Oreochromis niloticus: one gene and its partner. The protein of the gene in region 2 purifies or fractionates together with the protein of the main gene of each other region. This does not show direct contact. Links are inferred from orthologs where the notes say so. Each region holds a gene or a part of one and is shown on either strand. Other genes may lie near its edges.

Region 1 (7,149 bases), on a different chromosome or scaffold from region 2:
ATGGATGTTGTCACCTATTTAACTCCTCTCCCTTTTCTTTAATTTTAATGATATAATTATATCATCTGGGTTCAAATGGTGGCTCTTTAGTTTAGGATTCCCTACAGTCCTTCCATCTCAGCAGTGGCGCGCTACAATGACCCTTTGGCACTGACTCCCCTCGCGCGTTTTGGCATCGGTGCGCAGAAACGGCAACTCTTGGCTCTCGTGGCAGTAGCCGCGTTGATTGAGAGAGGGAGAGAAAGCGACAGAGAGAGAGAGAGAGAGAGCGCAGGCGGGCAGACGGACAAGAGACACCTCCCTCCCCTCCTTCCAACAAGCTCCAGTGTCTCCTATTGAGCCGTCTTTGCAGCTCACACGACGAAACATGCCCTGTTTGGGGCGACCCCGCATGTGTGTGTGTTTGTGTGTGTGGTTGGTGTTGCCTCATTCAAGTTTAAGTGCGTCCAAGACATCAGCCACTACAGAGGTGTGAACGGCAGACAACACAGAGACAATTTGCGGGGGGCAACCAGCAGTGGCTCCCCAGAGCTCCACCACGAGCTTCAGACGCAAACATCACTCAGCAGTGGCTACTTCACAGGCACGCTCACGTCTGGCTATTGGAAGCAGTGTCAAGTTAGCAGCCAAAATTCACCTTCACTTGATTTTTTCTTTTTGGTAATTCTATCACAAATACTATGAAGTAAAACAATCTGATCATTTCACCTTTTACCTATTTAGAACCACCACCACCACCCCTCATCATTGCTTACAGAAGTCTCCCAGGCACGCCAGATGGAAATGATCTTAAAACAAGAACAGCAAACACCTAGATCAGGTCCAAGTCAAACTTGGATGAAGGGTCACCTTTAATTTAGACAATCCTTTGTGTTGCTGTTTGTCGACTATGTAAACGCTGAAGCACTGCACAGGACACATGGCATCATACATGCAGTACTTACTCACATTTGAGTCAGAGGGTGGAAAACCCATGCTGTAGCTTTGTTGTTGGGGATCATTTAAATATGTTGTGAGGCAACAGTACCCTCTGTTGGCACAGTCTGGAGAACCTGTTTAGGCAGTGATACCTTAATGCAGCATTACTAAACTCCATCCCTATTTTTAGAATGAAGCCTCCTTAATTTGCCATTTACACAGTTCAGCGTCTGAGAGAGAGTCCTTGGAAAAGCAGATCGGGTTCACTAAGAGGCAATTAATAGCACTAAGGGAAGGTAATTGCACACGTACAGGTCTGCATTGAGATACAGGTTAGTACAGCCCTAACGCCACCACACCATACAGTCCAAACTGGTGCCGTGCCGTAATTTGCTTGAAATACATTGTTGAATAAAAATAATAGCCTCACACGGCCGTTTAAAGTTGACACTGTTTCCTCGTAGATCAGCAGAGAAGTGTGCAGCCACAGCAATACATTTTACAGCCCGCCATTAATAAAACATGGTGGGCAATTTTAAGAGCATTAGAAGTTTGATTGCTTCGGGGCAGGCCTAGGGGACTTTCAGGACAGTAATTATTTATATAAATGAAATGTCATCTCAGCTCTGGCTCAAGTAGACGTAACCTCAGCAGACGCCACATGGAAACACTACGGCACAACAGCTATCTTTCACAGATAGGCCAAGCATGTTGTCGAGCATATTGCTTTGACTGGAGCGCATAAATTCGATATGTGATATTACACGGAGAGTCTTCGACTCCGCGTCGGGCCAAGAGAGCAACAGCAGTCGTGGACATATTGAATGCTGAAGGAAAACATTATCCTGAGTTCACACACGCTCTCTCTCTCGCTCGCTCTCTTGCCATCCCTGCCGGCTGCGAGCAGCTCCTTGATCCTTACCCATGGGTTTCTCAATAATACATCAATGTCTCCATTATAGCTTGTAACTGCAGGCTCTGGGCAAAGGCAGTTTAAAGCTGGGTTGCATGGGGCCAACATAGCACAAATACCCCGCTTGTGGACACAGGAAAGGTTTTAAGTCCAAATGTTGCCTCCAAGGAGACATGCATCTCTCATGCTAAGTGTGGTCGCTCAAGAGGAGGTACCTGAACACACCACGGGGCAACATCCAAGCAAGATGTGAAAGTTTTGTCCAACTTACAAGGGGCCACGGTGCTGACATGCAATCGCTTTTTCCAGAATCTACTGAATTTAGAAAGATCTGCCTCGTTTGTAACTTACAGTTAAAATAATGAGCCCGGTGACAAAGTTTTTAAAAAAATTAGGAGCTTTTGCATTTGAGTGGACACGCGGCTCACCCGGCTTTGATTCTGGGTCACCTCCATCATTGCATCCCTTACATCTTCCATTTTTCATGTCCCTCCCATTTATTTACTCTCTAAAGAATACAACAAAGACATTAATACAGTATCCTAAAATAGACTAATGTACATGACGGAAACTGCACTTTATACAGTTTTTAGGGTTAAGTGTGCAGACCTTTCGAGACAGTCTTCAATGCGTTTAACCACAGCGTGACAGAGCTGACATAAACAATGAAAGGTCCACTCCAGGAGAGCTGGGGTAATATGAATATTGCTCTGGGATTTGCTTATAGTCGGCGCTTCATTATGCAATGTTTAATATTAATAAAGAAAGTATAAGTATATATTATTCATAAGCTGATTTACGGTGGCTGGTGTGTGTGTGTGTGTGTGTGTGTGTGTGTGTGTGTGGATTTGAGTGACAGATTGAGATGCTCCCTTGCTACAGGCAATACAACTAGACAAGGCTCTTACTTTTCTACAGGACACATCCTGACAATTTCTCCCACAGTTAAGAGGATTTGTCCGAGCAGGGGTGAATATATAATGCATGCAGATTCCAAATTTTAATTTGGACGGAGTAAATGATTCAATGCTGGCTTTTCTCAGAAGTGAGACTGGGCGGGAGGGGGATGCAGAGGGCACAAGATGTTACTTGCAAACCCCGCTCTTATGCAGTGACATTTAAACAAGTACAGATGATGCTGCACCTTTCACATGTCAACAACAGGAGCCTAAAGGAAAATTACTTTTCTAATATTTTCATTTTCCTGCTTAAAATTCCTTTTTGGTTAATATGATAGCAAGTTTCCATTACCAATAAACACCACAAACAACTTCTTTTTTTGTCCTAATCAGTCCCTTTTCTCACCTTCTCCTTTGCAGCAGGGTGAGGTGGTAAACTTTCATAATCTGTCCTGTCTCACAACCTTCATGTTTGAACTCAGATGCCATCGTGACAGATAATACATGATAATTATTTGCAGTTTGAATCTCATGTGCATATATTGTTTTGCGTATTAATTAATATCATCGTCATTCTGTGCATACAGCTCAAAACCAACATTTAAGGTAAATTTTAAACGTGTACGTGTTGTTTGATTAGATATAAATAACTCACGAGTAATATAGAAGATAACGCCGGCACTGAGTTAAAAAATGAGGGATTTGCTTGTGTTTAATCAGTAAAATAAACCAGCAATGTTTATTTTAGGGAGTCAGACAGAGTAGATTTGGACCCAGTGTTCTTTAGTATGTGCACTCTCAGGCAAATACCAGCAAAACTCATCTACTCTTAGATCCAGTTGTGCATCAGCAGTCTGTTTGTAACATATACAGGAGTATAAAAATCTATAGGTATCAAACGACAAAGGAAAATCTGCTTCAGTTTATGTATTATACGTGTTTAACCTTGTCATTTTTTCTTTTTAATTTAATTTTTAACTTACCTGCAGATTCACATTTATACTGGTCACAACTCATACTTGTTTGATTGGGTTCCTTTTACATCCTGCTACTGCTACATCCAGTGATATTTCTTGTAAGGAGCATATTTCTATGTTTGGGTGTTACCTGCTGCAGGACTCACCAGGTGTGAAAATAACCGGTGACTATTCAGCACAATGTAAATAATATTTGCTTGCTTGCTTGTAATTTGCACATGTAAACTATTTGGTCAATGCTAAGTCAATGCTGACCGCCAAGGTCCAAGAGTGAATCTGTGTCTCCCTCTAGTGGATATTATTGGGAATATCATCCTTTAGATTATTATCAAGAATATAAGAATTTAAAATGTTTTCAGGAAAGGCGGGCTGTTTCCAGCAGCGCTAGTTAGACTTAAAACACGAATGAAATTAATGTAGCAGCGGAAATGGAAAGAAAAATGTGACCCGAGAGCACGTGTACATGAGTGCCTGCGTGATGACGTCTTCCAATGGTCTGACGTACCGCAAAATGGTGGTGCCCTTGTTACAATGGGGTCTGTTGTTCACTTGTTAGCCAACTTATTGTGATCAACTGTGGATTATTGCTACAACTGTCTGATTTAGGCGATTTATTCGGACGTCTACATGTTAAAGGTAAGAGTTGTGTCTCGTTGGAAGCGGGAGGGAGATGAAGAGGCTGAATTCTGAACTACTTGTGACATGTCGGAAGCTTCGGCGTTAACACCGAGTTGAGCAAGTTTGCTAGCCGAGGTTTAGCTAGCCGAGGCTGGTGCAGAGTGGCCCTGTCGATGTGACAGCGTTGGTTGCCTTCAGTTGGAGAGTTTCATAAATGTTAGCCTATCGGCGCGTTTAAGCCACTTCGAGTGTGTGGCTCATGTTATCCTAATCTCCGCCCCTTGCTGCTTTTTTAGTTTTACGAAGCTAAGTTACCATCACAGCTAACAGTGCCAGCAGTAGCGGGTTCGTTGCAAAGCATTTTCGCTGTGTCTACATTAGGCTGTTGATTCTGCTGTGCTGCTGTAGGCACACTGGGAGACGAGATTTACACATGCATGGAAATTATAGATATATTATGTTGCTGTCTGAATCCATTTTACTCATCTATTTATTTACAACGAGCCTGGACTTGGAGCACAATGCAGCTCAGAAATGTTTGCTGCTCTTTAGCGTTTCACACTGTGGACTACAAGCTAATTACACTGTTTATAAGCCTGAGTGTGTGTATAAAACTACGCTATGGCCTACACAAAATAGCGAGTGGACGTAAACTCGTGGCCAGGTTATAGGCAGATTTGTGGTACTCTTTGCCTGAACGTAAATATTTACTTGTGTAAGCTATGCTGTTTAATGCTTTGCTGCCCTTAGTGATGATCCTTTTTATTTTTATCTCCGCAGTCCAGCACAGCGGGTCCATCCACCGCCTCTCCTCAATCAATGAAGGAATCCAAGGAAAATTCGTCAATGACGGGCCAGGCAATCTTGGACCATATAAAACCATGCTGGTACTGGGACAAGAAGGATTTAGCCCACACGCCCTCTCAGTCTGAGGGTCTGGACCCTGGCACAGAGGCCCGGTATCGCAGAGAAGGGGCTCGCTTCATATTCGACGTGGGGACCCGACTTGGCCTGTATCCTTGATTTAGATGATAGATTTATTGCTACAGCTACAAGAGAAAGGGTCACACGATTAATCAGTGCCACATGCTTCAGTTTTATAGTTAAAGATAAACAGACTTTTAAAAAGCAGTACATCTGAAAACGTCTTTTATGGCTGTCTTGTCCTTTCTCACAGAACCTACTTTGATGTGAATGTGAACATTTTTACAGGGTTTGTCTGATATACTTATATATATAATGATGTTTGTGGAATCATTATTAAAAGAAAAAAACTTTTTTCTTTTTAATTTAAAGAGTCACACGTTAAAGCTGATATTTTGCAAATGACCATTATTAGTCTTTGTGAGTCCTTGACCTGCATTTAGACACTACGACACACTGGCAACGGGCATCATATATTTCCACCGCTTCTACATGTTTCACTCCTTCAAGCAGTTTCCCAGATATGTAAGTAAATCTAATGGTCCCTGATTGTTTCACTCCTGGAAGCAGACCTGATGTTTGTAATGGTGAAGTAATGGTGTGATATGTGTCTCGACAGGTGACGGGAGCTTGTTGTCTTTTCTTGGCTGGTAAAGTAGAGGAAACCCCAAAGAAGTGCAAAGATATCATTAAAACTGCCCGCAGCCTCCTGAATGATGTGCAGTTTGCACAGTTTGGAGATGATCCCAAGGTGCAGTTCCTTGTATTCACCTTTGTTTTGAGATGTTTTTGCCTTGTGATAGCAGAAGCAGAATGGGTGTGAATACCTGTTAAAAACAGGTAGTGTGTAGTGGTCACAGGCCTCACTGTGATACAGGCAGATGACAATAATAACAGCGTCACTAATGCTTGAATAAATGAGGTCCTGGTAAAACTGAAGACTGAGTTTTCAATAACCTAAAAAGTTCCTTACTTATTTTTTTTAGTGATCAGGGCTTTTATTTACCTTAGCTGCCTGTAAGTGAGGCAGGCTTGCATTACAAACAAACTTTTATTCCTCGCTTTTATTAGAATAACTGTCTGTGTTCACTTGCATACAAAGCTTTGCTCAAACACGCTTACATTTCTTTAGTTTTAAGCTGGTGCATTAGGTGCGTAATACCACAGTAAGCCATGACTCATTCTTTAAACAGATCAGCGAGGTCATCAGAGCGTCACTCAGCACAGCTTTATGTGCCCTGACTCACAGAGACAGTAATCAGACCAGTTACCCTCTGCTGTCATGGGGTCAAAACCAAACAAGAACAAGTTTTAAATGCAGTGGAGTATGATTATGTCATTATGCCTCTTCACGTCTTTGCTATTAAAAACACACAACTCCCTCTCAACATTCAAGATTTTTCTTTTTTCCTCTTACCAGTTGGCGAGCTAAAATATCTATTAGCATGAAGTAGCCTCTGTTTCACTTAATCTGACCTTGAGTACTTTTGATAGAGCATGCATTTGTGACATCTGGACCTGGCTTATAACTTGACACTTTATTAGACACGTTTACAGCAAACACTCTTCTGGATTAGATCCAGCACTCATATGGAGCGGCACAAGCATCATACAGACGGCTTGTTTGCTTTCCAAGTCGCTCTTTAACTTGTTTAGCGTCATGCTAGAATTAGCCAGTGTCCTGGCTTTTCTCACCAGTTTTTAGTAGCTTAACTACTGTCATTAAGTCAGAATTGTACATTAGCTTCTTTCTTACTCAAGTGTTTTTAAATGAAAAGTTCAGACATTTGACTCTCATCTGGCTTATCGTTACTAATTGGAAGTAAAGGTAATGGAAACTTGCCATTCATTGCCAAAATGAGCTTTCATGTTTTTTAACATGTGCAGTATTTCCAGCGCC
Region 2 (7,696 bases):
TTCTTCCCTGAGAGTGAGCTGTCTTTCAAGCTGCAAAAATTGTTGAGAGAGCATTAGCATACTGAAACAGTCTGATCATATCTACAGAGTACAAACATTTCCTGGTCAGCACATCCATACCTTTCTCCTTTGTCCGTGTGCTCAATAACTGTTTGGGGCAATGGCAGCAATGGGAGGGTAGACATGGCTTGACCTGTGGTACGTTCCTTTTCTTTGCCTTGTCCAGACGCTGGTGCTTTCCTCTTGTCCCGATGTATAGAGTCATCCTTGCCCTTTACATCCCTGTCCCTGCTGGTCTGGTGCTCTGTTGTCTTCTTGGATGACCTCTCTGAGGGTGACTGAGGCTGGGTTGATGTGGGAGTTCGGGGTCCCTTCTCCGGTTGAGGTGGAGAAGGAGGGCGACCCTTTCTGGAGTTGTGATTCGATTTAGGGCTGGGCTGATGAGCGGATGAGGAACCCTTGGTGGGAGTCGATGTATTGCTCGAATTCTTGGCCTTGGCAGCTGCTTCTGCAGCTTTAGCCTTTTTCTGCTTACTGAGTTCAGCAGCAAGGCTAGTTTTGAAGGTGAGCGTGCTTGGTGAAAGACTAGATGGCCGACTACGGGAACGAGAGTGGCGGTGTCGGCTGCGAGAACGTGAATGCCTTGAAGTTGAATATGGACTTCTACTACGTGATCTAGCAGATCGCCTGGAAAGGAAATGATGAGAACAGCATGTTCAGTTGGGATATTAAAAGCACTTATAATTCAAGGTATTTCAGTCAGATTATCAACTGCAGTGACACATATAATTTTTTATTTTATTTTAAAATCAAATATGAAACAGTGCAGCCTTATTATAACAAATCTAATAAAGTCACCACACCAACAGAGCATGTGCAACAAATTAAACATGCTCAATTAGCTCCGAAATAACAACTCACCTGACATCAGGACTTGGGCTCAAGGACTTCCTATATGGACTTCGTGATCGCCTCCGGTTACCATAAGGGCTTGAGCCAAACTCTCCTTGTTCATAAGGACTGTGCCGACCGTAACTCGGAGACCTGCGCCAGTTCACTGGGCTCACAGGCGATCTCTTCCTTTTGTTGCTTGAGTATGAACTGGGTGACTTGGGGGCACCATACGACCCATACATGTCTACATCCCGGCTGTAATATGTGGAACTGGGAGACAGTCTTTTGCTCCCATAAGTTGGACTCCTTCTAGATATCAGCTGGTTATAACCGCCAGGAGACTGGTAGTTATATGAATATGATGTCCCATAGGGACTTTCTGATTTAAAACCAGGACTTCTCCTGTATGCCCTGAGGTCCTCACGATCATCTCTGTAAGACTGTGGAGCATCTCTGTATGCAGATGGGGGCTCTTTATCAGATCTTGTTTTACTTCTGTGCGTTTTTGAATCCCTTTTATCAGCAGATTGTGAGGACTGGGATGTAGATGTCCTTTTGCCATTCCTGTCACTGCTCCTTGTAGTGTCTCTGTGATTTTTAGAGCCACTCAGGCTTCCTCCACTCCTGGCTTTTGAGGAGTCCCTCTCCCGACTGTGACGGTCTTTTTTCTTACTTAGCTCCTTCTCTTGCCTGCTTCTCTCAGATGGTCCTCTTGTTTGCTCGTCCTTGCTGAGGCTCACTGCCTCCCGCTCTCTGGGGTGACTTCTGTCTGGGGATGCTGGTCCATTATAGTCAACAAAGTCAACATCGCTAAGTCGGTCCGCTGTGAGACTCTCAGCATGGGGGTCAAGTTTAGGAGAGGGGCTCCCAGAAAAACGCTCTGACTGGGAGCTCACGTCATCGTACTCCACCAGTGTCCGAAGTTCAACATCTTTCTCAAAAGCACTTCTTCGATCATTGTCAGGGTCTTCTATTGTACCGGTATGCCACAAGCCTCTTTCCTTGGGTTGCCTGCGTTTCTTTCTTCTAGAAGCCGATGAGCGCCTCTTCTCACGGTGCCTGTCTCGCTGAGCGGCACCGCTCCCCGGTTTGCTACGCCTGTCCTGCCTGCTAGCATTTCTCTGTGCAGAGGGGCTCCGTCCCCGACCCTCGCGAAGCACCTCCGAATTAGGCATTTATCTCCCAAATAAATGCTACCACCACGCTAAGAATAATATATTCTCTAATTTACCAAAGCTATGTCCCTTGGTGTGTCGTGGAACAAAACATTGGGCTAGCTATGGTGACAGGCTAGTCAGCTAACGTAACAGCAAAATCACAGGTAGACAGCCAGCCAGCTAGCTTAACGTTAGCATTACAAAGCTAGTACAATTCAGATTTAAGATAAAGTGAGTTAGTTCAGAAGGAAATTAATGACACTTAGTGCCAGCACACTCCGGCTCATATCAAATTCACAAAATGATTCTTGGTTATAGAGCCATACGATACTCAACCATTGTGTTCCAGGACGGACATCTCCCAGATTTACCAGCTAATGCTAGTCGGTTTAGCCAGCTAGTATTAACTGGCTAACTGTACTCGGCTACACAGTCGCATTCCATTTCATGGTAAAAGCACAGGCCTATAGCCTCTCTAAATTTAAGATCCACTTCTTCTAAAACGTTACCGTCTGTGCGAGCATGTAAATCCATTTACCGAATAGTGTTAAAATGTAAGTAGTAAACTCCGTCTCCTTCTCACAAACTTCTTGCCCTCCATCACACTCCGGTGTGCAACAAGGAAGTGAACAGCACGCGAGTTGGCCGGATAGTCCGCGGCTAACCAGCTAGCCGCTAGCAACTTAGCCAGCTAGCTTCTCCTTGTGTGGAGTTCAAGACAACTCAGTCAACATGCAAGAAAACAATGCCATTCAAAATCACGCCTGCGTCCACGTATCTTGCTGGACTGCTACCTCAGCTGATTGCAGCATTACCCGAAAGTAGCAAAACCTCTGCGTTAAATAGCTCAAAAATCTTTGAATGTGTTTATATTAATATAACTTTGTTCCCAGTGCAGCTAACGGTACAGCTCGCCCGGGCCCAGGCTGCTTTCAAACTACAGGCCTTGTGCGTCGGTGTCAACCAATGGCACTCGTATTCGTAATCCATTGGTAACGTCACAGCGAAAGGGAAACCCCTACCATCAAACCCCCCCACATAATATGATATGAAAATGCGATATTAACCAGAGTGTACAGGAGATGGTTATTTTCCACGTATCCAGTAAATGGAACTCCAGGTTATGTCTTTCCATTGATTACAATAAGACCAGATGCTGCCATCACGCGCCATATGCGCGACACAGTTAATCTAGGTTCACAGTTCGGCTTAGTTTCATTCATTTATTTAATCATTCCTCAGTTTAAATGATTAATACTATACTATACAGAATATGGTCATTTGTCAAGGGAATGATTGGAAAATTAAGAAGTTAAATCTAAGTATTAAAAACAAAACAGATGTTTTTATTAAAGAAAAAAAAACTATCCAAACCTACCTGGCCTCGTATGAAAAAGTAAATACCCCTTAAACCTAGTAACTTATTGGGCCACCTTTGGGTGCAAGAACTGCAGTCAAGCATTTGCGATAACTGGCAATGAGTCTGACACATGAAAGGAATTTCGGCTCACTTTTCTCTGCAGAAGAGCTTTTCACATATGGTCAGGTAGGTTTAGATAACCTTTACTGTTAATAAATGAAATAATTTACCAACTGCATTTTGTATTTACTCGGGATATTTTTTAATAATATTAGAAGATGATCTGACTGGCAATGCACAATCTATTGTACAATAATATTTCAAATTCTGTGTGTGCGCATATATACATAGATATATTTATATGCAATAAAAATGAAATACCTTACAAATTACATCATTCATCACAGACACAGAGTTAACGGTGGAACACGATAAAGATACCTAAAAGCTAAAGCAATTTTTTACTTTGTTCTCTAAACCAAGTGCACAGACCTAAGCTGAAATTGTGACAAATATATTTATTTACCTGTTTTTATTGTTATTTACCCAACAAAGACACCAATAAATGTTACTTTTCCATTTTCTGGCATAAAGTTTTTTTTGTGGTGTGTTTTTATGGACATGTCTTGCCATTTTCCTGGCAATCCAGGCCTGCTGAAAGGCTTCATGAGTTTCTAAGGAGCTTAGAAAGAACCTAAACACTTCAAGAGTTTGTTTTATGACCTTAAGATAGTGCTTTTCCTCTAAGAAAGGTCAGGGTAAGGAGATAGATATTATCCATGTTTATACATATAACACAGCACTTCAAAGTTCACCTGTTCAGTGCAAAAAACAATAAACGTATCACACAGAACATACAAACACATTTACAAAGTGTTATTAGTAATGTCCACTTTATTTGCCATTTCCAAACTCACAAAAAAATGAATTGAAATGTAAGCGTCACCTCTTGTATTCACAAACAGATAGGCTACATTAGTGGTTATGTTAAAAATAAGGAAACATGAAGGAAACATTTAACTGATGGCATACATACAACCATCCAATCAATTACATAGATACCTATATATTTCTTTTTTTACTCCAAGGGTATAGAAAAGGCAAAACAAGTTATCTGAATACCCAGTAGGACAGTTTGCTCATAGCATTCACACAAACATCTGTTTTAGTATTTCACTGAAATTTTTCGGGCTATCAAGTCTATTAAATTAATATGTGGAAACAAAGTAACAGCAGTAGAATGATTATGAATGATGTCTGCTTGAATAAACAAAAACCCACAACAAACTGAAACAAGAAAGACTTTGTTTAGCCAGTGTTATAGTAAGCAAGCATTACGGTAGTCACTTTATGTAGGGCAGCTTCTGTAATCCTCAACAATGAAGACACAATGCGGTTAATGTAATAATCTCAAGCTAAAGAAGGAGAGTAATAATAAACTGGGATCTTTATGCTCATTCCAGTTTCTGTGCGTGCCACTTTAACTTTCAGGGCGTTTCAATCATTATGTGGTGTACTGGAGTTTAGCCCTTAGGACATATATTAGACTAAACTGCTTACCAATCAGTTTGATGCCATCTCACGTTACTGTTTTAAAGTCCAACTCCTCCTACTATGTGCTTTGCTGTAAACATGAGTTGCATGATAAACGCACATTAAAAAGACAAACAAACAGACAAAAGAAAGCTTCATAGCTGTTGGATGACACACTTTTTTCCAAACTGCAGTCAGATCTCTAAATGGCGCTCCAGCTCAAGTGCTTCTACTAGTCAATAGTTTCTAGACCCAGTCAGTGTTTTAAACTCTTTCCAGGTTTCACATTTCCTCTTTGCAATTACAGCAAACATTTTGCATAGACTCCAGTGTTGGGCACGTTATTGGTTGTGGCAATCTTTTAGTGTAAATGGTGAGCAGCTTACTATTAAGTTAACGATTGGTAGTGAATCAGAGAGAAACATGGCAACAACCTCAACGTGGCTGTTTAACTTTACTGAAATATTAAAAACAAATAATAAGTTACTAAAAATAAATTATAATGTTCATAAGAAAAGAAAAAAAAAGGCTCAGTCATAAATTAAGAAACGAGGGGCAGTTTTCACAGTGTATTTTGGTCTATGCATTCTCAATTTGCCAATTTCTATACACTGTTTCAACCTTTGCCTCTAAAATGCCATCTACAAGATAAAATGAACACATTCGGCATGTTACTACAGCACTGTAACACAGGGTAGCCTTGCACAAAACGTAGAAAAGTAGAACGCCAGCGACCTCTAAACTCTGCAAATCATTGGCAGTCTAAGATTACAGGCAAACAGGATGAGTATGAGGGGATGTTTCACATTCACAATGGACAGAGAGGCAACAGTGACGCACTGCACAAGAATTACTAAAGCCCTCATAACCTTGCATTTCTTTCCCCAGGCGAATCAGACCGAAATCTCGACGCTTCCCGACACTCCTTTTGACTTTTGCAAAGACTGTAGTGCTTACTTTTGATGCTCATTACAGCAAGCTGTCATTCACTTCAAATAATAAGTGGGCACTTGTTTGTACTAGCTAGCGTTTTTCTTTGGCGACTAAAACTTTTTTTGGACAAGTATCACCTCACGTCTATGCAGCCTGCAGTCTCGTTTTCATTTCATGCCTTAAAAATGATCTATTCATTAATTTACCCCAGCTTTCCAATTAAGGATTTTTCCATTTAACAAAAGGAAAAGGGAGATAAAAGTTTGCAGATTAAATGTCAGGGAAAGTTATACATGAAAAATGACATTTTTTACAATTTACAATGTGTTTCTTTGTTTTTAAAATTAAGATGTGTCAGCATGTAAGGGATGTAGTGTTATGGAATCACCTTTTATCTGAGCACCAGGGATTCCTTTATCGCAAAAAAAGGCAATGCCAAGTGAGGTAAAACTTCTGACATGTTAGAATTGAAAAAAGTTCAAGTGTTGCAAAATCCCTCACAGATTCAAGGGTAACGATTAATGTCCATTGTGCATTTGAGAAGACTCAAAGTCTCTGGGGTAAGGGGAGAGATTAGTGGAAACATTAGTGCGCTTATCTTACACTGGGTGATATGATAGAGGAGAAGAAGAAGAAGGGAAATGTTTGACGTCACGACTAAAAATAAGTATACATAACTGTACAACATAGTAAAACTGAGGTGTAAAACGACAAATAGGAATGGCATCAAATTTTGTCTCAGGCTTTGATAATGGAACTGTCTTCTAATTGAAATGATTCACATGCTCAGTGCAATGTTCATCTCCTCTGTGGCTCTTGATGAACTCTGGGTTGACACTACACTGCTGAGTCTGTTAACTAACACTTTCTACCAAAGATGGTGGATTAATTAAAAGGGATTGGGGCTTTCCAGTACTGAGCTCCAGTTACATCTTCCCTGTTTAAACCTTGGCGCTTAGACTTTCATTTAAATCTTTTTTTCAACTTGCACTGCACAGCTCTCTTAATATGTGTGTGTGTGTTCGCACACACACGTGTCAGACTTTACAATGAAACGTTTTGGAACATTTCAAGACTTAGCCTTTTGTCAAGCTTAGGTCTAAATTAAAAACACCACTGAATTATTACACTCTGTAATGTGGTCAGAGTGAGAGAGAGAGGGTACATAAATTATTTGGAGTGTCAGCACATAAAAAGTTAGAGCTATAAATGGTGTATGAAGTGCCACCTTACTACTTCCTGACACATGGTCAGATGTCCTGTTAACCAGGAACAGAAGATCATGGTCAGGTATGGGCACAAAAAATTAAATTAAATTAAAAATTTTAAAAAAAGCAAAAGTCTGAGAAATGCGTATGTACATAAGCAGCGAGCCTGCTCCCTCTAACGACTATAAAATACAGCATCTCTCTCTAATTCTCTTGGCCAAACTTTTACTTTTCTTCTTCCCGTTTTTCTCTTTGCTGTCCTCCATTTTTCTTGCCCGGATCTCTCTCATTAGGTCGAAAAAAACCTGTTAACAGGAGAACATAAAAAACACAAGTGTTCACATTTCTGTGTTTATGTGTCTGTTTTGCTTGGTGTCAGCATAGTCAACTCATTTTGCCCAGGAATTATTATGTTCAGCAAGTTAAACAAACCTTGTCAACATTGGCACGAGTTTTGGCCGACGTCTCCACGTAGCACACGCCCCACTGCTCTGCACGTGCCTTTGCCTCATCTGCGCTAACCTGCCGTCGGTCGTCCAAGTCTGACTTATTACCAACCAGGAGAAAGGGCACATTCTCATCCTCCTTCACTCGCAGAATCTGCTCTCTGC

Evidence for each region.
Region 1: the proteins of cdk13 (region 2) and ccnk purify together in Homo sapiens (affinity purification with mass spectrometry; 4 studies listed by BioGRID and IntAct, counting the BioPlex papers as one, with this or other methods). This does not show direct contact. The link is inferred for Oreochromis niloticus from reciprocal best matches to the Homo sapiens genes CDK13 and CCNK.

The regions. Positions count from the first base shown.
Region 1 is NC_031980.2:2,995,039-3,002,187, reverse strand, and holds the start of ccnk (cyclin-K), read left to right. Parts: upstream 1-4,147; 5' UTR 4,148-4,334; coding exon 4,335-4,342; coding exon of another isoform or gene 4,343-4,343; intron 4,344-5,101; coding exon 5,102-5,338; intron 5,339-5,692; coding exon 5,693-5,774; intron 5,775-5,868; coding exon 5,869-6,000; intron 6,001-7,149. UniProt on the Homo sapiens protein: Regulatory subunit of cyclin-dependent kinases that mediates activation of target kinases.
Region 2 is NC_031974.2:13,116,400-13,124,095, forward strand, and holds the start of cdk13 (cyclin-dependent kinase 13), read right to left. Parts: upstream 3,017-7,696; 5' UTR 2,070-3,016; coding exon 922-2,069; intron 688-921; coding exon 121-687; intron 31-120; coding exon 1-30. UniProt on the Homo sapiens protein: Cyclin-dependent kinase which displays CTD kinase activity and is required for RNA splicing.